Stegostoma tigrinum: one gene and its partner. The protein of the gene in region 1 binds, or shares a complex with, the protein of each later gene. Links are inferred from orthologs where the notes say so. Each region holds a gene or a part of one and is shown on either strand. Other genes may lie near its edges.

Region 1 (12,864 bases):
CTTTGGTAGTGGGGTCAGAGCGCAGATAGCAGAAGTGCCAGAGGATGACGTGTTGGATCCGGAGGTTGGTGGGGTGGTACGTGAGGACAAGGGGGATTCTGTTTTGGTTGTTCTTGCGGGGAGGGGTTGTGAGGGGTGAGTTGTGAGAATGCGAGCGATGCGGCCAAGGGCATTTTCAACCTCTGTGGAGGGGAAGTTGCGGTCCTCAAAAAACGAGGACATCTTGGACATCCGGGAGTGGAATGCCTCATCTCAGGAGTAGACGTAGCGGACGCAAAGAAATTGGGAATAGGGGATGGTATTTTTGCAGGACGGTGGGAGAAAAGAGGTGTATTGTAGGTAGCTGTGTGAGTCGGTAGGCTTGAAATGGATATCAGTTTTGAGATGATTGCCAGAGATGGAAAGAGAGAGGTCCAGGAAGGAGAGAGGGGTATCGGAGATGGTCCGGGTGAACTCGAGGTTGGGGTGGAAGGCGTTGGTGAAGTGGATGAACTGTTCGAGCTATGTGTAGGAGCACGAGGCAGCGCAAATACAGTCATCAATATAACAGAGGAAGTGGTGGGAATAGGGCCAATGTAGCTTCGGAATTGGGATTGTTCCTGGAATGGTATCCTGGAATCCACCTGGAAACGGATATTAATTTCAAGCCTACCGACTTCCACAGCTACCTAGAATACACCTCCTCTCACCCACCTTCCTGCGAATAGGCCATCCCCAATTCCCGATTTCTTCAAGTCCGCCACATCTGCTCCCAAGATGAAACATTCCACTCCCAGACATCGAAAAGTCCTTGGTTTTCAAGGACCGCAACCTCCCCCCTACAGAGTTCGAAAACGCCCTCAACCACGTCGCTCGAATTTCCCGCAACTCATCCCTCACAACCCCTCCCCGCAAGAACAACTAAAACAGAATCCCCCTCGTCCTCACGTACCATCCCACCTACTTCCAGATCCAATGTGTCATCCTCCGACACTTCAGCCATCTGCAATCTGACCCCACTACCAAAGACATTTTTCTCACCCACCCTTGTCTGCCTTCTGGGGAGACTACTCTTCCATGACTCCCTTGTCCGCTCCACGCTCCCCACCAGCCCCACCACTTTTCCCTGCAATTGCAACAAGTGCTACACCTGCCCCCATACCACCTCCCTCACACCCATCCCAGGCCCCAAGATGACTTTCCACATCAAACAGATGTTCACCTGCACATCTACTAATGTGGTATACTGTATCCACTGTTCCCGATGTGGCCTCCTCTACATCAGGGAAACCAAGCGGAGGCTTGGAGACCACTTTGTGGAACACCTCCCTTTGGTTTGTGACAAACGACTACACCTCCCAGTCGCAAACCAGCAGAAGTCCCCCTCCCACTCCTCAGATGACATGTCCATCCTGGCCCCCCTCCAGTGCCACAACAATGTCACCTGAAGGTTGCAAGAACAGCACCTCATTTTGCTTGGGAACCCTGCAGTACAATGGTATCAATAGGGATTTCACAAACTTCAAAACCTCCCCTCCCCCCGACCGCATCCCAAAACCAGCCCAGCTTGTCCCCGCCACCCCCCCCAACCAGTCCATCCTTCCTCCCACTGATCCACTCCTCCCACCTCCACCTCCTACCTACCAGTCTCATGATGCCTCCTTAACCTGCCCGTCTTCCCTGAACTGACCTACCTGAACTCCCCACCGACATTCACCTTACTGGCTCCATCCCCACGTCTTTGACATATCCGTCTCCTCTCCACCTTTCTACTCCTTTATCCATTTTCCATCCGCCTCCCCCTCTCTCCCTGATTATTTCAGAATCCCCTTTCCCTCCCCCATTTCTGAAGAAAGGTCTGGACCCAAAACATGAACTTTCCTGCTCAGCCTGCTGTGCTCAACCAGCACTACACCTGGTTATCTACTTTTGCACAGGTCTTTTCAACACAGCAAGACCACCTCGAGGATTTGTTAGTTAAATCGTGTCCATTATTTTTAAAAACTGCAAGGGTCTAAAGAGGACATGTTGCTTTGGAACTCATAGCCCTAAAATTTCAGTTGGTGACCCCAATGGGATGCCATGTTATTGGGTATCTTCTTTTAGGTATGATTACTGCTTCTACCTTGCTTGCAGTAGTTTTCCACTAATACTGCCTCGATATAGCACATTTGACACAAGCAAGTGTATGATCCTTAGCCTGAATCCAGATGCATACTTCATTTGTTTTGTTGAAAGTCTTACTTCCCTTTGAGGGGTTTGCCACACGGGTCTGCTTTGTAGACATATCTCAAATTTCCACAAAACCTGCAACATAGCCTATACTGTCGGCTCAATCCCATGCAAATGTGAATACAGCGTATCATAGTCAGGAAGATTTGGTGGCAGTGGGGGACTCTGTTGCTGTGAGGTAGGCTCATATGTCAAGTTTATGCAAAAGCATTATTTTTGGCCTTGTAAAACTGGGTTGTTTATCATCAGATTGACTGGTACCCCACAACCTACATGTGGAAAAGAAGAAACAGACAACATAGAACGAATGAAAAACATTGCTAAAAGTAGTGCAGGGACAGAGGGGTCCAGAGGTACATGTGCACAAATCTGTTGATGGCAGGACAACAGGTTATGAAAGTTGGTTTTAAGATGTGTGGGATACTCGGTTTAAGGAACATAAAGCAAACTTTTATAAGCACTCTGTTTTGGCCTCAACGGGAATATTGTATCCAATTCTCAGCACTACACTTGGGAATGTTCTTTCCAAATCCCCAGTTTGCCACTCACTCCAAAATCTACATGCTCAAATTGCCATATTTACCCATATTGACCTTCAAGAAACAGATATGGAAACCACGTGGGCAGAATGAAATTCACTATGCATGTCTGCTCTCAATTTTTGTGTGAGGGGAAAACTTTTTTGTAATATAAGCACAATGTACCAATCATATTTTAAAAAAAGCCATCACCTACAGTGATGTTTCAAAGTGAAAGCAGACATCGTAAAATAAAGAGGCAAAGAAACAAGTTTTTTTCCAATGTCTCGTGGTGGCACAGTGGTTAGCGCTGCTGCCTCATAGCATCAAAGATCCAGGTTCAATCGCAGCCTTGGGTGACTTTCTCCTCATGTCTGTATGGGTTTTTGCCAGATGTTCCCATTTCCTCCCACAGTCCAAAGATATGCAGCTAAGGGTCACTGCCATGCTAAACTGTCCCACAGTGCGCATAGATGGATAAGCAAGGTGGATTAGTCATGCTTAATGCAGTTATGGGGATGGGTCCCCCCCGCCATGGGTTAGTTGAGATGTTCTTCAGAAAGTCAGTGCAGACTTGATGCACCATGGCTTTTATCTGCAGTGTAGAAATTCAATTATCCTCTTGAACAAACATCTGTACTATAGCGATGCACAATTGAAGTAAATTAAATACATTCCTATTTTTGAGATGCTAACTGAAACACTAAAATTTCTGTACAAATTTAAACATTGTTTAGACTCAAAGACCATACATCAGTGCAAAAGTCAACTAATGAACAATATGAACGTTCTAAAATTTCACACATTCCAAGTGTCAGATGAAATAGGGCAAGAGGTTGATGTAGCCATTTCACATTAATAAAAACTGTTTATGTAATTAAACAAAATGGACTCTGTATTACAAGACAGCGTCTGATGGGTATAGTTAATGATCCTAAACAGGCAGTCTTACAAAATGGCTAAACTTTCCTTCTATTGCTAACACATCATGAAGTGATAAAGTGCACCAAATGCGTGATTTGAAAAGCAGTAAACGCAAAATTCTTTCTTCTGTAACTCAAAAAATAAACTTTTTCAGTCATATTTTCATTAGGACAGTACCACTTTTACACGTGGACAATCTATGATGTTCACCGAATTAGCTGCATTATAAACGAGGGCATTGACAGAGCTGACTTTAAAACACGATTTGCGAACTCCTGCGACATGACAAACACTGGAGTTAGCTTTCACCAAGCATCCACGGAGAGGAGGATCACGTGAAGCCACTTTTTTTTTGGGGGGGGGGGAAGAGAATCAATTAAGAACTCTTACCCCAAGACTCCCTCGCTGTAGTTCCGGCTTTTCCAGGGAGTTCCGTTGTAATGGCCATTTCCAGACAGGAGGCTGTAGTTTAACCCGAAAGTGCTTGCCTTGTTGTCCCGTTTCCTCTTATTGCCCGTGCCACTGGTCCTATTGCTGTTGTCGGGGTAGCCCTTCCTGCAGCCACCTTCTCCTGGGCTAGCTGAGAAGTTAGTGTTATTTGCGCTGGGCTCGAGTGGGAGGAAATCCCTCTGAACGCCTAAGTCCCCTCCTCCCTGGCTGCTCCTATCCCTCAACATAGTCTCGGTGCCCACACTCGTCGCTGCCGTCGCCGTTGCCGCCGCACAGTTATTATTAAAGAACAGATTCCTCAGCCCTTGCGTCGTTTCCCAAATTTGCATCCACAAAATGTTGGCAGGTCCGAGCTGTTCTGGCTGAAACCAGGCTACTCTCGGATCCATCAAACGAGGACGAGGTTAATACTCACTGAAAACGAGCGTCTGTTCGTTTTCTCTTTCTCCTCACCCTCCGCTCGGTCTCTAATAACCTTGTTCTCTTTCTCTCCCTCCCACCATCCGTCAGCTCCTCTATCTTGTCGGATACCCCCGTCAGCTTGTCACCGGGCCGGAACGAGAACAATCTCAACAGCAATGGCGACAGACGCTTCACTGCACATGCGCGCAGCGTGCCCTGACCGCCGTATGACTCGCGAGCTGGAAGCTGCGAACTCCTCGCGCAACAATTGGCCGCCCGTTGTGATGTCACGGCGACGAGGATGTTACGCGACAAAGAAAGGGTCTCGCGCCTACGTTCTTTTTTTCGGTTTATTTTCGAACGGTCTTTTTCACGCCTCAGATCCCCCCGACGTCCAACCGCCCTCCCGAAATGCCGCGCCCCCCACATCAACACACTGTCCTTCCCCCCACCTCCATAATCACTCTCACCCCTGCACACACTGTCCCTACCGCACATCTTAACTGTCTCCCCCCCACCCCCATTGCCCTCGCACTTAGCCCGCAGGGGCCCCACCCATTACCCTGGCACTCTGCCCTCACTGCCCCCCCATTGCCCTGGCACTCGGCCCTCACTGCCCCCCCATTGCCCTGGCACTCGGCCCTCAGTGCCCCCCCCCCATTGCCCTGGCACTCGGCCCTCACTGCCCCCCCCATTGCCCTGGCACTCGGCCCTCAGTGTCCCCCCCCATTCTTCTCGTACTCAGCCTTTACTATGTTGTTGGATTACAATGCTATGACTGACATGATGACCTACTTTGATTTCCAAGCTATTCTGTTTCACTTCAGATATTCAATGTCAGCATTTGAGTTCTTAATTATAGGTAAATGTGAAAGATGCAAACTGGTAGTTCAGCAATGTCTTAGTGCACCACTGTTGAGTAACCCTTGTACTTAACTGGCACTAATGTCAACGACACAATCGAAGCTAATGGTGACATGGGACAAGTCAATTACAGAATTAAATCTAGTTTGATAGATCATATGTTTATTTTTTGTCATTGGTGACTAACTACGTTGTTAACAATGATTTCACACAATGCTGCAGATGTTCTTGAACAAAACATACATTTTTCTAAACCAAACAAAAATAAAGCTATTTAAAGGGAATTAGAAAGAGCCTTAAAACATTAAAACGACGTTCAACTTGTTTCCCAACAGTATCCTTTAGAGACTCAAAGCACACAGAAGTATCACTATCTCTTTAAACTTTATATAACTGATTGCCCCAGTCAAACTTGCCCTTTGCTGGAATCTAAAGGACTGTCACTCCCTCGACATTCAGCTGAACTACTCATGCAGGCCAATGCTCATTATCCTGGCAGCCATCGTGACCCCTTAATTACGCAGTAGTACACTGTACCAGCTGCATTTGAGTCATCAGAACAAACCGGAGTGGCTTCTCTCATGTTTTCACATTATAGCTCATGATGCTGGAGTGTAATTTATTGTTATGATCTTAGCTGATGTTCTTCGCAGACAGGCCAGATCCCAAAAGAAACTTGGCTTGAGAGATCATGTCTTGGTTTCAACTTAGCATGTTTTTTCATTGAAAGCACACAATGCTCCTGATCCTGCTTTAACAGCAGAACAAATTTATTAACAAGAAATGAAGTTAAAATAGAATGAACCAAGTTCTAACAAATTTAAAATGCTCAGTAAAAAAAACTTCCACTGATTCCTAGATTCTTAAACATGATGACAGCACAGTCAGACTCATCAGCCAAATGTCATCTGCTTTGTTTTTCTATTTTCTCATTTTTGTTTCTCTCTTGCCCTCCTCCTACTCCTCCCACCCTTTCTACTCAGCGATGTCTTGAACTCCTGGCCTCAGCACAGACATGGCAGTCTCTTGGTGCATGATAGTGTGGTGTGGCATCAGCATGGACTTCTGGCTTCAAGATGATTCCAGTGCAGTCTCTCAGCCTGGAGGTGAAGCCAAGGTGTCAGCATGGACTGGGGCTGAAAGGACAATTATTCTGAACTTTTTATTTCTTTATCTTGTAATTTATTCCCATGATCTCAAATGCTGGACTTTTTGTTTTTTATTATTTTTCTATTTGTTTTCCTTCTTAAAAAATTTGTACTTAAGAATGTGTACCTCGGTACCTTTGTACCTAAGATGGTGCCATAAGTGGCAACTTCTAAATTTTGCCTTACTGCAGTAAGTACATGACAATAAAACAAATTCTAATTCTAAATAGGACCTTACAAATTGATTAAAAAACCAAGCTCTTTTTGTATCACTCAAAACATCAAGGTACGATATCTGAAAACACCTTGACCAAAAATACCACTTCCACAGGACTCTCGCAAGAGTCCCTGACTCAAACAATTTCACTTGTCAGTTTAACATACTGACAAGAATCACAGATAAGTTCTTTCGAGAGCCATTATACATCACAGCTTAAACAAACTCTGCTAAAAATAACCTCCTCTGGGTTTTAGCCCAACTTCAGGAGTGGGATATGAACTGGGTTTTCTGAAAGGTAACCTAGTTCACCATGTTTTTCTCCAGAGCACCAGTCTCTGCAACTATCCTCATCTAAGTTCTTCACAGGATGGCTCCAAGGGAATTTTTTTTAATCCGCCTTGCTAAGCTGTGGGTCTTATGCTTTTTCAAAAAAAAGGTCAAGTCCAAAAAATCTCTTGGAGACCTTACAGCCCCATTATTTACTTTCCAGAGTTGCAAAACAATCCAAACAAATATCCATTGGTGGTACACAGAATCCCAATTATTCTAACGCTATGTCCAAAACCTCTCTTAAAATGTATCAATGCGGTTACAGAATTTAATTATTAATTTCAGACATTGCAAAGTCCACAGGTTACTAACTCAAAAACCAAAACTCAAAATGTAAACACCAAGTCTTTTTATTTTTCTGTATTCCTGATCATGGACTAAAAGATGAGGCAGAAATGAATCATTTTAAACATTTTAAAACAAGGATTGCTGCACTTTTAGAAAAAAAACTGATATTCATTGTAAATACTGTGCATAGCTACTAGTTCAAGCAGTAGTGGAATTCTGCTTGGAGATGATCTCGAGCCAAGAAGTGTGTATTAGTGGAGCATTGGCTGGCAACAAGTAACTGGTCTGTGGACTAGTGATCCGTTATCGATGACAAAGTCCTTCTTCCTATCACCAACTGTGATGGACTTCATGGTAGCTGAATGGCTTCGGGTGTGAATGTTTGGGGAAAGCAACTGGATCTTTGCAAAGACAGCAGCTGTCCTGTTTGCTTTGCAATAAGAAGCATCTCAAGCCTGAAAATCTTCACTTTATTTTCCCTTTTCCAGCTGCTGTAAGTTGCAACTTTTTAAATTGATCATGTTTTCAATTGGACCCTGTCACCCCAATGCGTCCTGCAAAAAAGTGGAAGTGTCCAGAGAAGGAAGATCAAGAAGCAGTCTTCCGATCAGCACAAGAAACATCTCATCAAACTGTGAAAGGAACTATTGAATTACATTCCCAGTCCTTCCATCCACCATAATGCCTATGTTTTTTTTAAATCCCTGACTGAATGTGTCAGGGTAGTTTATAAGGGGCTGTGTGTTTTAGCTAGCAGAGTTGTATCAACAGTTCACAATTAATAGATTATTTCTTGTTAAATGCAGAAGTTCATGCTTTGTCAATATGAGTCTGAAAGGTGAGTAAATTGGAAAATTTTGCATTTGTTTACAACCTTTAACTTCTGCCGATTCCAGAAACAGCAGGACTTGATTTACAGCATGCCACCCCAGTGAGGCATAACAAGAAGTGATATTTCAAAATATACATCAATCACAGTTTATAATCACATAAGATACACTTCGATTTTAATCAATAAATGTCATGCTACCATGACATTTGTATTTGAGCAGACCATTGATTTGCTGATACAACTTGCCATGTCTAAACCACACTGGGGGACCCCTGCCAGATTATGCTAGTGCTGGAAATGCAACGCTTCCTCAATGACTGCAGCACAGTTGTTGGGAAGCTATGGATGTTTAGTAGAGAAAATTTTGAATCTTGAGCAACTGAAAGCCTAGAAGGTCCCACTTCAGATTGTGACATCTTGACATGGGCAAATGCCTGAGCTGGCTTACAGACAGCAGTAATGGCACTGGTGGAGTGGCAGAGGTGGAATGATAAATGTTCTTTCTCCTGAGTAAAAAGAGTGCTTATGCTTGATGGAGTTACTAATTTTTTTAGCAGGGTGATGCTTCAATAAAATTCTTGTAATCTGTTGTTGGGTAGTTTGGAGGGATTGACTGAGATGCAGATGGGTGATGAATGTCAGAGTGACTGCTGACAGGCCACAGTGGATGCATGAGAATGACATACAGCCTCGCCTACCATGACAGGAGATCTCCTTACCCGAATAGGTACAAGCCTCAGCAGCAGTTTGCTCTATTGATATGACCCCTTGCAAACACTTTGCAACATGTAATACAAAACCACGATGTCAGCATTGAGTTTGTATAGCCTTTAATAGCCAGTAGTCTGAGCTCCTATCACGGCATTCAGTCAGTGGGAAGCTGCTGCATTCAAGCAGTGGAAACAGAAACAACAGTCACCTGACAAAATCGGAAAACTAAAAGATAAATACTGAGGATGCTGAAAATAGTGAGGAAAATGTTCAGCAGGCCTGGCAGAATCTGTTAAGGGAAACATCAGATTTAATTACTTTCAGGTCATCACATTTCCAACATCTGAAGTATTGCGCTTTTGGTTTCCATTTTAAGTCACTGCAACTTCACATCCCGGATGGCGGTGAGTTGCCAACAACTGAATGGCTTGCTAGGCATTTTCAAATGATTGTCAAGAGCCAACCGCATTAGTATGAGTTTGGAATCACCAATAGGCCAGACTGGACAAGGACTGTAGATCTTCTCCACTTAAGGGCATGTAATAACCAAATTAGGTGGGCATGAGTTAATCATGCATTGCAATCCACAGCCCCATTATCTCTCCTTTTGTTCTATCTTTGACTCCACAGACTGACTCTGCTCTGCAGGTATGCCTCCAGGCCACTTGGGTAAGGTGGAAGATCCTCTTTCATCAAAACCAGGAGAGGGGGACCTCATTGTATCATTAAGAAATCCTGATTGACAGTTGTAAAGGGGCGTCATTAGTTACAGGATCATTTCGAGAACATAGCTGCTGATCAACAAGTGTGTGATTGACTTTACATTCAGCCAGAATTCACAGATGCGTAAATGAGTGGGTATGATTGCCGGGGAAGGAAATGGGGAAGTTGCAGGAACTCTTAGAAAAGGGCTGGATGTAGCTCCCTCAATGGGCATGTAAGTCAGAAGTGACACTTGTAGAGTCAGTCCAGAGCAGTCTAAGGTCGGACACATTCCAGTGACATCAAAATGAGCAGCGTGTCTTGCTTATCCATTGTACCTATTAATGTCAGGTAACCAACAATTCTCCTCTTTCTTTCTGTCAGAGAAGATAATCCATTATTTTAAAAGAACACAAGAATTCCTGGAGGCCTGGTTTTCAACCACCAATGCAATTAACAAACATATTGAAATAGACCCCACCTAGATGCCACAATGGTCCAAAACTAGAAACAAGACTGCCCACCTTGACAGATCAGACTATGTAAATTCAGAGTGGGACAGAACAACAGCGCTTCAACGGTGGTTACACAGCACTAACAATGTTACCTCGAAGAGATCAAACATTTGCATGAAAACCAGCCAGCTCGGTGAACCAACCAACAACTTAAAAGAACGTCCATATCAACAGCAGTGTATTACATCTTTCTCATGACTGGGCACAAGGAGCCTCAGAGGGACCAGGGGCTGGAAAACAATACTTGGGATTGCATATGGACCCCTAAACTGTAGTGGCAATGTTGGGAAGGCATTAAGCAGGAAATTAAGCAATTAAGGTCCTGTTGTGCTAATAGGTGATTTTAACCTGCACATTAATTGGGCAAATCAAACTGTAATAATACTGTAGAAGAGAAATTCCTGGAGTGTGTACAGGACGGTTTGCTGGATCAGTACATTGAGGAACTAACTAGACAACAGGCCATTGTAGACTAAGTATTGTGTAATGACAAATCAATAATTAACAGTCTAGCTGTGCAAGGGATAAGACTTCTTCATTAAGCTGGAAAGTGGCGTAATTGATTCTGAAGCTAGATAAAGGGAATTACAATGGTATGAGGCACAAACTGACTATGATAAATTGGGGAACGGTATTTAAAGGAATGGTAGTGGACAGGCAATAGCAAACATTTTAAGTCTGTATGGAGGAACTGCAAAAATGGTTGATTCCTGTCTGGCACAGAAATAAAACAGGAAAGATGGCCTGCCCATGGCTAACTAAGGAAATTAGGCACAACAAAGTGTGAACCTGGATGAACGCAGCAGGACAAGCAGCATCTCAGGAGCACAAAAGCTGACATTTCGGGCCTAGACCCTTCATCAGAGAGCTCCAAGAGGTCAAATCAGTGGAACACATAAGCTCAGGGAATCCATTTTACATCATAGTGAGCTACATTTGCAGCTTGATTTTGGAGAGCCTTGAGGACAAACATTAACTGAAGTAAATAACATTAAGTGAAGAGATTACAAGAGAGTTGCAGTGGGAGAGAGATTCCCTGAAGTTGGTTCGGAGGGTCTAGGCCCAAAACGTCAGCTTTTGTGCTCCTGAGATGCTGCTTGGCCTGTTGTGTTCATCCAGCTTCACACTTTGTTGTCTTGGATTCTCCAGCATGTGCAGTTCCCATTATCACCAAGGAAATTAGGGACTGTTTTAGATCCAAACAAGGTGTTTATAAATTGATTGGAAGAAGCAGCACACTTAAGAACTCAGGACAATTTAGAATTTGGCAAAGGAGGACATTGAGATTCCAAAAGATTGCAGAAAACATCCAAATTGATTATAAAAGCTTCTATAGATACATGAAGAGAAACTGATTAGTGAAGACAAACATAGGCCCCTTATGTTGGAACTGCAGAGGCTGGAGAATCTGAGATAACATGGTGTAGAGCTGGATGAACACAGCAGGCCAAGCAGCATCAGAGGAGCAGGAAAGCTGATGTTTTGGGTCAAGACCCTTCTTCAGAAAATAGGTCCCTTATGGTTAGAAGCTAGGGAAGTTAAAATAAGGAACAAACAGATGGCAAGCCAATTAAATACACACTTTGGTTCTGACTTCACAAAGAACAAAAATAACATCCCAAACATTTTGGGGAACTTAGGATCTAGTAAGATGAAGGAACAGAAGGAAACCAATATTAGAGAAATGGTGATGGGAAAAATCATGGGATTAAAGGTTAATAAATCCTCAGGACCCAATAATCTACATCTCAGAGTACTTAAGGAAGTGGCCCTAGAAATAGTGGATGCATTGGTGGACACCTTCCAGGATTCTATGGATTGGACAGTTAATATGGATTGGATTGGAGCTAATGTAACCCCAGTATTCAAAAAGGAGTTAGAGAGAAAACAGTGCAATCAGTCGTATGAAAAATGTGGCAGTTTGTTGTAGAAGATTTAATAAAGGAGCACTTGGAAAATAGTGATGGGATTTGGATACAGTCAGTGTGGACTTTGAAAGGTTTGACAAATCGACTGGAATTGTTCAGGGGCACAACCAGTAGAGTTAAAAAGGAGGAAACAGGGGAAATGGAAATGGTTTATTTAGATTTCCAGAAGACTTTGAAAAGGCTCCACGTAAAAGATTAGCATGGAAAATTAAATGCATAGAATTGAGGGTAATGTACTAACATGGGGAAAGAACTGATTGGCAGGCATGCAGGAAACGAGGAATCAATGGGTCTTTTTCCAAGTGTCAGCCGGTGAGTTGGGGGTACTGCAAGGATTGTTGTCTGGATCCCAGCTATTCACAATGTAAATGATTTAGATAAGTGAACTGAATGCAACATTTACAATTTGGAGATGACAAAGCTGGTTGGGAGGATGCACTGTGAAGGAGATGAAGAAATGCATCAGTGTAATTTTGACAAGTTGAACGATTGGGCACAATATGGCAGAAGTAAGATGTGGTTAAATGAAGGTTATTCATTTTAGTAGCAAAAACAGGATAGCAGATTATTATCTGAATGGTGATAGATTGGGAAAGGGGGAGGTTAATTGAGACCTGGATGTCTTTATACTTCAGTTGCTGAAAGTGAGGATGCAGGTGCAGCAAGCAGTGAAGAGGCAAATGGTATGTTGCCCTTAATAGCAAGAAAATTCTAGTAGAACAGCTGGGGTATTCTGCTGCAATTGTACAGAGCCTGGGTGAGACCACATGTGGAGTATTGTGTTCAGTTTTGGTCTCCTTACCTGAGGAAAGATATTCTGG
Region 2 (12,899 bases), on another chromosome or scaffold:
ATTGGCATTACATCCACAAGCATCCATTCTCTCCACCAGCAACGCTCAGTAGCAGCAGTGCATACTATCTACAATATGCACTGCGGAAATATACCAAAGATCCTCCGACAGCACCCTCCAAACTCACAACCACTTTCATCAAGGAGGACAAGGAGGGCAGATATGTGGGACCATCACCACCTTCAAGATCCCCTCCAAGACACTCACCATCCTGACTTGGAAATATATCACTGTTCCTTACTGTTGCTTGGTCAAAATCCTGGTATTCCCTTCCGAATGGCATTGTGGGTCAACCCACAACAGGTAGAATGCAATGGTACAACAAGGCAGCTGACCACCACCTTCTCAAGGGCAAGGCAACTAGGGATGGGCAATAAATGCTGGCCTGGCCAGCAACGCCCACATCCCACAAAATGAACTTAAGATGCTGCTTGGCCCGCTGTGTGCATCGAGCTCCACACTTTGTTATCTTGGATTCTCCAGCATCTGCAGTTCCCATTATCTCTTTAAAAAAATCAAAATCACTTCCGGCTAGCGTACTGCCCTACTTACACACCTCCATTATTTCCTGATTCATACTTTGTCCTTCAGTGAAATAACTCTTTGGAGCCCTACTGATGACTCCCACCCTTGACCTCTTTCCCTTGCTCATCTTTATTTCTGCTGAAACTGATTCCACAATATGACCTATTGCACCCATAGCGCTACTCACCATCACACTGCCACCTCCCTTCATTAAAACAGCTCCACCTCATTTTCCTTTATGGTCTGCTTTTCTGGAATGTAAAATACCTTTGAATTATGAATTCCAGTTATGGTTCACCCTGCAATCACCTCTTGGTAACAGCTATCAAATAAAATTAATTTATTTCTACTTGTGATATCAACTCAATTTACCTTATTACTAATGCTGCATGTATTCAGACTGAGAGCCTTAAATTTTAATTTTTGACCATTAGTAATTTTTCTGGTTCTAATTCATGCTACACTCTTACACACTTACCTGAAACACACTTATTATCATTCATCTCTTCACAACCTTGCACCATTTCTCTATTTCACTACTTTTCATCATTTATATGATTTGGATGTTAACATAGGGTTATGGTTAGTAAGTTTGCAGATGACACCAAAATTTTAGGTCCAGTGGACAGCGAAAAATGTTAACTCACAGTACAATGGGATCTTGATCAGATGGGTCAATGGGCTGAGGAGTGGCATGTGGAATTTAATTTAGATAAATATGAGGTGGTGCATTTTGGAAAGGCAAATCAGGGCAGGACTTATATACTTAATAGTAAGGTCCCGGGGAACGTTTGTAAACAAAGTAAGCTTGGAGTGTATATTCATTGTTCCTTGAAAGCGGAGTTGCAAGTAGACAGAACAGTGAAGGCGTTTGATATGCTTGCCTTTATTGGTCAATGCATTGGATATAGGAATTGGGAGGTCATGTTATGGCTGTATAGGACATTACTTAGGCCACTTTTGGAATGTGTATGCAATTTTGGTCACCCTGCTGTTGGAAGAATGTTGTAAAACTTGAACAGGTTCAGAAAAGATATACAAGGATGTTTCCAGGGCTGAAAGGTTTAAGCCATAGGAAGAGGCTGAACAGGCTGGGGCTATTTTTCTTGATGTGTCTATTTCTCCTATACCAATTTTTGAGCTGCACTTTTACCTGGAACATGACAACTGACACTTCCTCTCCCACTTTAGGTTCCTCTCTTCCCAATTAAAGTCATCCTGAATCTTGATACTAGGTAGACAACACAGTCTTTGGAATTCTCTGTCTTTGCCGCATTCCCTAAACATGATGTACCCTGGCACTACTATATTTCTCTTCTCCTCCCTCACTTTTGCCATAGTGCTGTGGTCAGTTTGCTCATTCACCCCACACTCTATGCCTTCGTCCACGTTGGGGCCAAGAACTATTAGCTATTAGGCAAGGAAGAAGCTACTGCAAAGCTAATTACTAGATCCGACTATCTCCCTCACTTCCAGTATTATCCCTTTGTTCCTGAACACAGAGCAAATTTGATATAAGGAGTTTAAGTGTCCAGATACCTCTCACCCTTCCTGATATGCTGCAGCTTGAACTCCAGTTCATCAACTCTGAGCTTAATTTCTTCAGCAGACAATCCTTACAGAATTTCCGGCTTCTCAGATGCTGTCTCATCTGGTGCACTTTTCCAGCTCCACATTAACCCTTGCAGATGTGTTCACCATGGATCACAGCAGCATTCACCAACACCACATACTAAAGCTGCAATGCATTGCCTTCTCAATCGTCTCTATTTTATTAATTAATTTGGGTGTCAAATAATTTAAATGTGAAATTCCTAATGTTCTTCTTCAGCTGTAACAACATCTCCTAATTTAAACCAATTGAACAATCAAAAGAGTCATGAAAGAAATACTCTCCATAATCTGCCCATTTTCCTGTGACATACTTCAGCCTGTACAGATAGAATTAGGTTGAATGGTCTCTCTGTGGTTGGTTATTTATCACCCACTGCTGCTGCTGCCCCTCTCATGCAGGTATGACCTCCCTGCCACTTAACATGAATTTATAGGTGGATTTCCTGGGATTCAACTCATCATGGTTTTACTGCAGAAGTATTTAATTGTCGCTGGAATTTGTTAGAACAGTAAATTGACCACCAGAATCACGTGGAACAAGAATGGCGTCACACAAGAACCAAGCAATGACTCTTAATTCAGCTGCGCTCTATAACTTAACATTCACATTGGGTTTCTTCTCAGTGGGATTATGATCAGAGTAACTAGAAGGGAGGAAATGGTACAGTGGTATTTTCTCTGGAGTAATTACGCAGGTGAATATTCTCAGGATATGTTTTCAAATCCTACCATTGTAGATCATGAAATTTGAACTCAATTATTAAAAAAATACCAATGTTGTAAAAATCCATTGTGCTTTAGGGAGGAAAATCTGTCACCCTCCCCACATATGGTTTACTTGTGATTCCAGACCCACAGCAACTGACTTTTAACTGCCTATGAGATGGCCTAGCAAGCCACTCAGTTCAAAACAGCTTCAAATCTGAAAGTATTGAACTAGATGGACCATCTAGCATTAACTTAAGCACCTGAAATGATAATGGCAAACCAGTTGACCATGAAACCATCTTTGCACTTGTGCCCAAATTGTGATAACTGCCCCAGACAATAGGTTGAAGGTTCCTTATCTGTAAGGTATGATTCTATGGCTTTGGCTATGTCTCAGACACTACCATCGCAATTCCCAGGTTTCTCTCATCTCACTGGAAGGACAGACTCACCAGAGGTGGTGGTAGTACAGTGATATGCAGGTGGAAAGGAATTATTCCGGCAGTCCTCAACATTCACCTTGGACCCCATGAAGTTGAACCAGGGAAAGGAAACTTCCTGTTGACTACCACTTACTTCTTCCCCTTTGCTTATGAAATGGCTCACGTCCATGCTAAACAGCACTTGGAGGAAGCAATGATGATGGCAATAGCACAGAATATAATCTTGGTGGAACTTCAATATGTGTTGGTTGCAGCACTACTGACTGAGTTAGCAGAGTCCTAAAGGTTATAGCTTCTAGCTCGTAGCAGGTGACGAGGGTACTAACAAGAGGGAAAAACTTATTTGACCATGTGCAGATGCAACTGTCCAAAATATCGGTAGGTGTGATAACCACACAATTCTGTGGAGACAAATTCCACCTTCACATTGAGGTTACCTTGCATCATATTATGGCACTGCCATGGTGATAAGGGGCAGGTGACATTTGCGCCACACAAGAGCCAAGTAATGACCATCTCCAACAACAGGAAATCTAACCATCACCCTTTGACATACAGTAGAACAACAGTGGTTGAATCCCACACTATCAAATTCCTGGAAGCTACCATTGACCAGAAACTGAATTGGACCACTCATATAAATACTGTCACTACAAGTGCAGGTCAGAGGCTAGGATTCCAGTAGTGAATGGGCAAACATCTGGCAAATACAGTATAATACGGAAAAATGTGAAATTTCCCATTTTGACAAGAAGAATTAAAGAAGTGTATTATTTAAATAGTGACAGATTGCACAGCTCTGAGGTGCAGGGAGATATGGATTTCCTATTGAATTGCAAGAAGCTACTCAGCAGGTCCAGTAAATGATTAAGAAGTGAATAGAATGTTATAGTTTATTGTGAGTAATAGGGAGTTATGTTTTAGTTATATTGGCATTGGTGTGAGGATAACTACTAAGTACAGTAATACTCTTCTTACTGCAGGAAGGATATAAATTCACGGAAGCAGTTTAGAGAAAATTTCCCAAACTAAAAGCTGGAGCGAGTCGGATAACTTATGAGGAAAGATTGAACAGATTGGCTTATGTCTGCTAAAGACATAACTTAGGGAAGGATGTTTCCTCTTGTGGAAGATTCTAGAATTCGGGATCATCGTTTCAAAACACCCATATAAGACAGAGATAATTTTCTGTTGCCACAAAAGGTTGTAGCTTTGTACAGTTTTCATCCCAGGAAGAGAGGACCTTTAGCCCATTGTGCCCACACCTATAATCAAAATCCCATTTTCCAGCATTTGGCCCATAGCCTTGTGTTCTATGACATTTCAAATTCTCGTCTAAAACTGCCAAAAAATCTTTAGGTTTCATAGCTCCATCGCCCTTTAGGCAAAGACTTCCAGATACCCACAGTCCTACGGGTATTTTTTTTCAAATCCCCCCTCAAACCTCCTGCTTCTTACCTTAAAGCTATGCTCCCTCTTCTATTGACCACTCTACTAAGGGAACAACTTCTCCCTATCTATCCTATCTCTGCACCTCAAAACTCTGTACGTCCCAGTCAGATTCCTCCTTAGCTTTCTCTGCTCTAAAGAAAATAATTTCAGCCTATCTAGCCTCTCTTTCTAACTGAATCACACTGACCTAGGCAACATCCTGATGAATTTCTTTTGCACCCTTTTTTGTGAAATCACATCCTTCCTATGGTGTGACAAACAAACTGCACACAGTACTCTGAGACTTAACTAATATATACAGATCCATCATAACCTCCTATTCTGAGGAAGGGTCACCAGACCCGAAACATTAACTCTGATTTTTTTCACAGATGCTGCCAGACCTGCTGAGCTTTTCCAACAACATCTGTTTCTGTTCCATCATAACCTCCTTGCCTTTGTATTCAATGCCTTGATTGACAGAGGCAAGTATCCCATATGCCTTCTGAACCACTTTATCCAGATGACCTGCTATCTTGAAGGATCTGTGGAAATGTACACCAACATTCCTCTGATCCTTTGTACTTCCTAGGGTTCTACCATTCAATGTGTATTTCCTCGCCTTGTTAGTCCTCTCAAAATTCATTGCCTCACATTTGGTTGTGAGCCATTTGGAACTTTCTTCTTCAAAAGGCAAGGGAAGGAGGGTCTTCAAATATTTTAGGGTAGTGGGAGACAGATTCTTGACAAACAAGGTAATGAAAGGTTTACGGGTAGATGGAAATATTGTCAGACTAGCCATGATTTTACTGAATGGCAGACCAGTCTTGAGGGACTTAGTGGCCTACTCCTGCAAAGTGTCAAGCAAAGCTAGTGCAGAGTGAGGCAATGATACTAGTCACCTGGATACTGTAGTTCATGTCTGCCTTTGGTGGTAAGCTTAATTTTGAAAGGAAGCAACTGAGGTTAAAGTTTAGTACACATACCAGAGGGCAGCTGATCTTTGAAGGAGTGAATGACCATGGTCAGGTAGATAGTAAACTGCATGGAGACTATCATGCAGCCTTGTTTGGCACTGATCTGTACCTTGAAGGCACCTGTTTCAAGACACAGTTGTAGTCATATCATCATGAAGCAGTTGCAGGATTGTGATGACATTTTGTGAATATTCTGGAGTGCAATTCATTGATGGTGGTCACTGGACCCAAAATGTCAACTTTGATTTCTCTCCACAGATACTGCCAGACCAGTAGTGCTTTTCCAGCAATTTTTATTTTTGTTGCCACAAGTTGTGGGGGTGGGCTAGGCAGCATCCAGTGCCTTGAGCCCGAGTCTTATCTATTCCACAGATTTCTTTTTTCTCTTTCACCTTGTTCGTCTTTTCTCAGTTTTTTTTTTAAGTTTCTTCCATACCTTTTGGAGGCCATGTAGACAGTAATAGTGATGGTGTGTGCCAGCAGCTGGGACCCATTGCAAGCGCGGATGGTGACAGCAGTGAGGCAGCAGCTGGTGATGAAAGATGGCAGCAGCAGCAGTGGCTGTGCCAAAAGATGGCATCAGCAATGGCTGGCCATGAAGGATGGTGGCAGCAGTGTCGGCAAAGAGGCGGCAGTCAGAATTGAAGCTTTGTGAGCAGTAGCAAAGGTTGGCGTGCTTGGGCAGGTCTTAGCTCAGCATAGGGGACAGCAAGCCCCCTTGGGGAAGGCCAGCTTGGAGCATCTGCAGGCCCATGGCTCAAGAAAGGAAAGTAACGTTTGACATTTTAACTTTTTTTTTCTACTTTATGGTAAGAAGACTGTAAAAAGCTGAACTTTTTACCTTTGTTTATTTTAGCATTTCTGTAACTAAGATTTTGTACCCTAGTACTTTGAACCTAAGATGGCACAGCGTATGGTGACATTGTATGCTTTTCAATGTACTCTTGTACCCCATACTTGAGTCCACATCGCAACAAAACCTAATTCCTAGAACCTTGCGATTTACTGAGTCAAATACTTTAGGCAAGTCAATAAACATGATGAAGAGTTTCTCATTTTGAGTTCAACATTTCTCGTGGATCCGTCAGGTAAGAAAAACCATGCCAGAAGTTCATCTGGACAGCCTAAAGGCTCTCTGCATCTCTGGGAGGATTTTGTCAGGCAAAGAAATCAGCATCAGGATTTTAGGCATGTTAAGATATTCCCTGCTATCGACAACAGGGAACTACCTTGACAGTTGTCTGGCATTATCAATCTCCCGTATTGAAAATAGTTATAAAATAGTCACTTTCCTTGGAGGGAGGTGGAACAGATTCTGTCAATTCCAGAGGATCAGTGACTGGAGTCTTGATGCGAACAAAAGCCTATCAGCTTTGAAGACCTCTGCTGGAATACCTTTGGAGCTGTAAGTTTTGTTGTTCTTCATCTATTTAATTGCTTGCAGTAGCTTTCCAACTGATAGTTATTCACCCATGGATTCTACTACAATGTACAGGCAGAGAGCCTGGAGAGTACTCCGTCACACTTTGGTTTCATAGTTGAGATGTTGGGAATGTTCCTTCTAGTGTTTATAGGTGTCACTGACATATTTGACAAAGACAGACATCACTCTGTAAATGAAGAGGATTTTTTAAATATTTGATCTGTGTATAGATGGCCCTGATGGCTTTAAAAAGGTTTTGCATATTGTGACAGGGGTCATGTTGATGGATCACTCGGGTTTTCTCTTCCCACCACAAGAACCGGGTTCATGTTCCACTTGCTCCAAAGCTGTGTGATAGCATCTACACACACTGACTAGAAGTGTCTATAAATCGAATTTAGCGTTGCCTTGTTTACATTGATTATATCAATTTTCGCTGGAATGTGATTTGAATCCACAATTTAAAGTGTCATAATCCAAAATACCGTGCCAATTTTTCGCTTGAAAAAGTTGCTGCTTTACTTGCTTGAAGGAATGAAAAGTAAATTGTGCCACACAGTATCGAGAGGCTTAAACGCCTGTGTGGTACCGCGCTGCTAATAGTAATCTTGCGAAAGAGCCAACGCAGGGAAAATTCATAGCCGGCCAGCTGGATAAAAATTTGCGGAAGCTCTTTTCTCCGCCGGCACAATATCTGAGGCGTTCGCTGGTTTTAGTCGGCCAGCTGCAAATGTGCAACTGTTAGAGCCAGGAGCTTTGGGCAGTTTCTTCCTGATGTAAACAGGCTGGTGCGTACTGAGTAAAACTTTCCGGCAAAACGGGCTGTTAAAAAGAAGAGACACGAGGAAACTTATGGTCGGCGCCGGAGAAGATACATGAAGGCAGCCTGTCAGGGTGCCGGGCCGAACAGGGAGCCGTTAGAGTCCCAGGGCCCTGACGACTCCTTCAACTTTGTCCGGTACCTCTCACGAACCTGCACGTGCTGATCTGCCGCGTGCGTCCGTGAGCACGCGCTGGGAAGCCAGGCACCCCCTTCTAGGGACAGGGAGACAATGGAGGTGGTCACGTGCCGCTAAGTTCCCGCCCGCCCCGCGCACCTGTATTCGCTGTCACTCCCAACTGAGGGCTCGTTGATATCCGCTCGCCCCGAGTCCAAGGAGGCCCGAATGGCCTCCTTTCCCATTAGCTATATCGTGACTCACACCATGCCTTGAGGACTGGTTAGTCAGTTGCCCTCCTGGATGAGGTGCCTTCCTGCTGAGCTTTTCCAGCAACTTGTATTTTTGCTCCTGATTTACAGCATCCGCAGTTCTTGTGGTTTTTCTCTCCAAACTATTCCTATTCAAGTGCCTGTCGAAATGTCTTTTAAATGTTGTAATTGTACCTGCATCCAGCATGTCCTCTGACATTCATTCCATACACACACTGCCTTCTGTGTGGGGGGGAAAGTTGCCCCTTTTAAATCTTTTCGGTCTCGTCTTAAACCTATGCCCTCTAGTTTTGCACTTGCCCCACCCTAGGTATTTATCTTATCTTTGTCCTTTATGATTTCATAAAGCTTTATGAAGTTACCCCTCAGCCCCTGATGCTCAAGAGATAAGGTCCCAGCCTATGCAGGCTCTCCTTTAACTCAAACCCTTCAGTCCTGGCAACATTCTTGTAAATCCTGGCCTATCCACTTTATTTTTGATAAGTATCCTAAATCATCTGTCTTAAATGTGTGACTCCTTATTCTGAGATTATGTCCTGTGGTCTGAGACGTTCCCACAAAGGGAAACATTTGCATCTACCATGTCAAGACCTCTTAAAAATCTTGCATGTTTCATTCATGTTGTCTCTTTTTTTTTAATTCAACAAGTACAGATCTAATCTATTCAATCGCTCCTTGTAAAGCAGTCCTCAGGGATAAAAGTTGTGTTTCTCCTGTTGTTCTGAATCTTCTTCTTAGGTTCAGGAGTCTGCATACCTAGGTATGGCTTTGTATGCAGTTTGAAACGTTCTGGCTTTGGTCCCTGAAGTTTGAGTATCCTCCAAAATGGTATGCTTTGGCTACTCAGCAATCACTACTTCATGTGTCCACTGGGCTGCAAAGATAATTAGAGTCAGATTCACTAAATGGTGGTGAGGTGAGATGAGGTTTTGAGAGACACTGATGCATTAGCTATTCTCTCACTACACCTGAATCTGTGGCCAAAAAGCCACCTCTCAACTTCCTACACTCCAGTGGAAAAAAAAGTCCCAGCCTCTCCTAATAACTCAGACCCTCCAGTCCAGGCAACATCCTTGTAAATCTCCTCTGAACCCTCTCCAATTTAATAATATCCTTCCAGTAGCAGAATGACAAGAACTGTACACATTACTCCAGAAGAAGTCTCACCAGTGTCCTGTACAACCTTAACATGAGATCCCAACTCCTTTACTCAAAGGGCCAAACATCTCCTTAACCACTCTGTGTACATATGACACAAATTTCAAAAAAATTTGTACCTGAACCCCTAGGTCTTCCTGGTCGGCGCTACCATTAATTGTATAAGTCCTGCCCTTGTTTTACCAAAATGCAATACCTTGCATTTATCCAAATTAAACGCCATTTTCCACTCTTCAACCCATTGCCTGAATAGCTCAAGATCTCTTTGTAATTTTAGATTACCTCCTTCACTGACCACTATACCATCAATTTTGGTGTCATCTGCAAGCTTACTAACCATATCTCCTAAATTCTCAGCCAAATCATTTATATAAATGACAAACAAAAGTAGACCCAGTACCAATTCCTGTGGAACACCACTGGCCACAGGCTTCCACTCCGAGAAACAACTCTACACCGTCACTTTGTCTCCTACTGGCCAGCCAATTTTGCATCCAGTTTGGCAAGCTCACCCTCAATCCCATGTGATATAACTTTACTCATTAGTCTACCATGCAGAACTTTGTTTACTTGGACTTTAGTAAGTATTTGACAATGTCTACTGCTCTGCCCGTATCCATCTTCTTGGTTACTTTCTCAAAAAAACTCAATCAGGTTTGTGAGAGACGATTTCCATCACACAAAACCATGCTGACTGTCCCTAATCATTCCTTGCCTCTCCAAATGCATATAAATTCTATATCTTTCAGAATCACTCACCCACTGCCAAAATCAGACTCTCAGGCCTGTATTCCCCAGGCTTATCCTTATGTAAATAATCTTATTTCTGTCAGCTCCTAGTATTAAAACTATATTCTAAACTTACTTCTTTCTTCTGTTTATGCTGCAATTCATCTGGCTTTCAAACTCACTTGTTTTAGTTTCTAGTCCCATCTCAGTGTCTCTCCCCTCTGAACTACTTGTCAGCATCCCATCCCCCTACCAATCCAATTTAAATCTGCCCCAAAAGCATTAACAGATCTCCCCTTGAGTATGTCTGCCCTGTTCCTGTTCTTCTTCTACTGCATTAGATTTTACCTTAAAAGCATGCAGATACCCAGGCCCAGATAGTTTCCACTTGAAGATATTACAAGCAATAGATGTAGAAGTTGTGCAAGCGTGGGTTATGATCATTCAAAACTCAATACTTGGGGATAGTACAAGAAGATTGGAAGTAGAAAATGTCTTAATGTTTTTCAAAAAACAAGGCAGGTTAAACCAACAAGCTATAGACCACTGAATTTAGCATCAGGGAAAAAAAATACAAATATTTGGAAAAAGTGTATGATTAGGAAGATTCAAATTGCTTTGTGAAATTTGTGAGTAGATTGTACCCAAATAGCCCAACAAAGAAAAAAATCACTAGCGATTTGGATTGGGAATGTGAGGTTGTGCTCAAGATTTTTAACTCTGCTTTAATTTTGTCATGCCCATTCTCTGATAGCAGTATTTGTTTTCCCAAAAAAATTGATATTAGTTTTTAAAACCTTTTTTGTTTCTTTTTATACAGAACATTTTCTCCTTTGACAATGTTTGCTGGTTATGAAGATAAAGAGGCCTATGAAGATGAACTCTATCGTGAGGAGTCATCCAGTGATACTGGAGTAGATAGTGATTTAGAGTTCCAGCTGTACAGCCAAGTGCACTATGCGAACAACCTCAATGGACAAATGATGGATAGAAAGATGGACTCAGCCCATCCAGACTCTGCTTCAGTTGAAGACAATGGAAAATTGACACAGGAAACAAAAAACGCACCTGTACCTTCTGGCAATGATGTCATAGTCATTTCAGATGATCCAGATATCATTATTCTGTCAGATACTGAAGATGACGATAGTGTATATGCCTGCAAAGGTGTTAAGCCCTCAAATTGTGAACTCCTTGGAAGAAAAGATCAATCCATAGAGAAGTCTGATCAAGTGTCAGCTGAATACCTGGAGCCAAGTGTGGGTTGGCTGACCGAACTGCAGAAATTGTCACAGAACACGGACAGTCTGAGCAGAAAGTTGCCACAGAACCCAGCAGTGATTAAAGGAGGTGAAAATTCAGAAACAGAGGATGATGAAAATGTAGAGAGTTGGATGATGCTGGGCCATGATCAGGAAGAAGAAGATGATGATGAGATCCAACTCAACGTTGTAGGTTGCGGAACACTGAGAAACGAAGAAGGTAGGAATTTTGATGGTGTATCAGAGCATTTACCATACTGTTATGGCAAGTATTTCTGTGTAGTAAGCTAAGGTAACATTTCTCTGCTTTGATAACAGTTTTGTTTCAGATAATAGGCTAGTTGTTGAATTCTTGCCATTTAAAAATGTTGAAATCAAGCAATTTCATAATGAAGCGTAGTACCTGCTCACTTGCCAGAAAAACATAATGTTTTGCATGCCATAACAATAAAGAAGTCACATTTTGAATCACAATTGTAAATTAAATGTAATAAAGTTGTTTTCAAATCTGGTATTTCAGACTATTTAAAGCTAAATTGCACAAAACACGTGAAATGTTACGTGTTAATAGTATTAAATGACCAAGAAAATTACTCAGCCAACTGCCAATGCATATATTTGGACCATTCCTTTAAAGACCCTATTTGTTTGGCTATTTGAAGTATTTAGCAGAGTATAGTCTGAAATGTTGATGTGTTGGAGGTTCAAGCATTCCACCAGCCTTACTGCAGACTTGAGATCTTACACTGAGGAGAGGCCATTCAGGTGCAATTACTGTGCTAAAAGGTTCCGCAGTTTATCCAAGCTAACTGTACACCAGTGAACTTGCATTTGGGAAAGAGCATTCACCTGCTCCATGTATGTGAAGAAATATGCTCAGTCGTTCAAAACCCATTTTACTGATTAGTTGAGACCAGAAAATACTTCAATCTATTACAATATTTGACAAAAATCAGTTAAAATATTTGATACAGGTAGAAGGTATTTCACAAATACCAAAGCTTTACTTCAATGGTTATTATTTTCATATGTGATTAGAAAGGTCAAACTCATTCCAGGACTTGAGTGTATAATATCATTTAGCATGTTAGTGCATTATTCAGGGATTGTTTGCATTGTTTGGCATATGTGTTGTGATTATCAATAGATTAGTAATTAGAGAACTAGACTATAATTCAGTTTAAGAATTTGATTTCAGCTTTTCTTTGTAAAGGGAATAAAAAGCTGAGAAGTTGGTGGATTTCTATAAAATTCAAACTGATTCCTTAATATTCCACAAGAAAGGGAACTTGCCATCCTTATTCAGTGCAGCCTGTTGCAGTTCCAGTCCTACGCTAGCATAGCTCTTAACTCCCCACTGAACTGGCCAATCAAGCTATTCAGTGTATCAACTATTACCAGTGGTTTAAGAAGGAGAAC

Evidence for each region.
Region 2: tent4b (region 1) and zcchc7 share a complex: the UniProt entries of both Homo sapiens proteins name them as parts of the nucleolar TRAMP-like complex. The link is inferred for Stegostoma tigrinum from reciprocal best matches to the Homo sapiens genes TENT4B and ZCCHC7.

What each region holds. Positions count from the first base shown.
Region 1 is NC_081369.1:27,980,306-27,993,169, forward strand, and holds the start of tent4b (terminal nucleotidyltransferase 4B), read right to left. Parts: upstream 4,718-12,864; 5' UTR 4,493-4,717; coding exon 4,044-4,492; intron 1-4,043. UniProt on the Homo sapiens protein: Terminal nucleotidyltransferase that catalyzes preferentially the transfer of ATP and GTP on RNA 3' poly(A) tail creating a heterogeneous 3' poly(A) tail leading to mRNAs stabilization by protecting mRNAs from active deadenylation.
Region 2 is NC_081356.1:12,259,156-12,272,054, forward strand, and holds the start of zcchc7 (zinc finger CCHC domain-containing protein 7), read left to right. Parts: upstream 1-7,981; 5' UTR 7,982-7,996; coding exon 7,997-8,079; intron 8,080-11,038; coding exon 11,039-11,700; intron 11,701-12,899.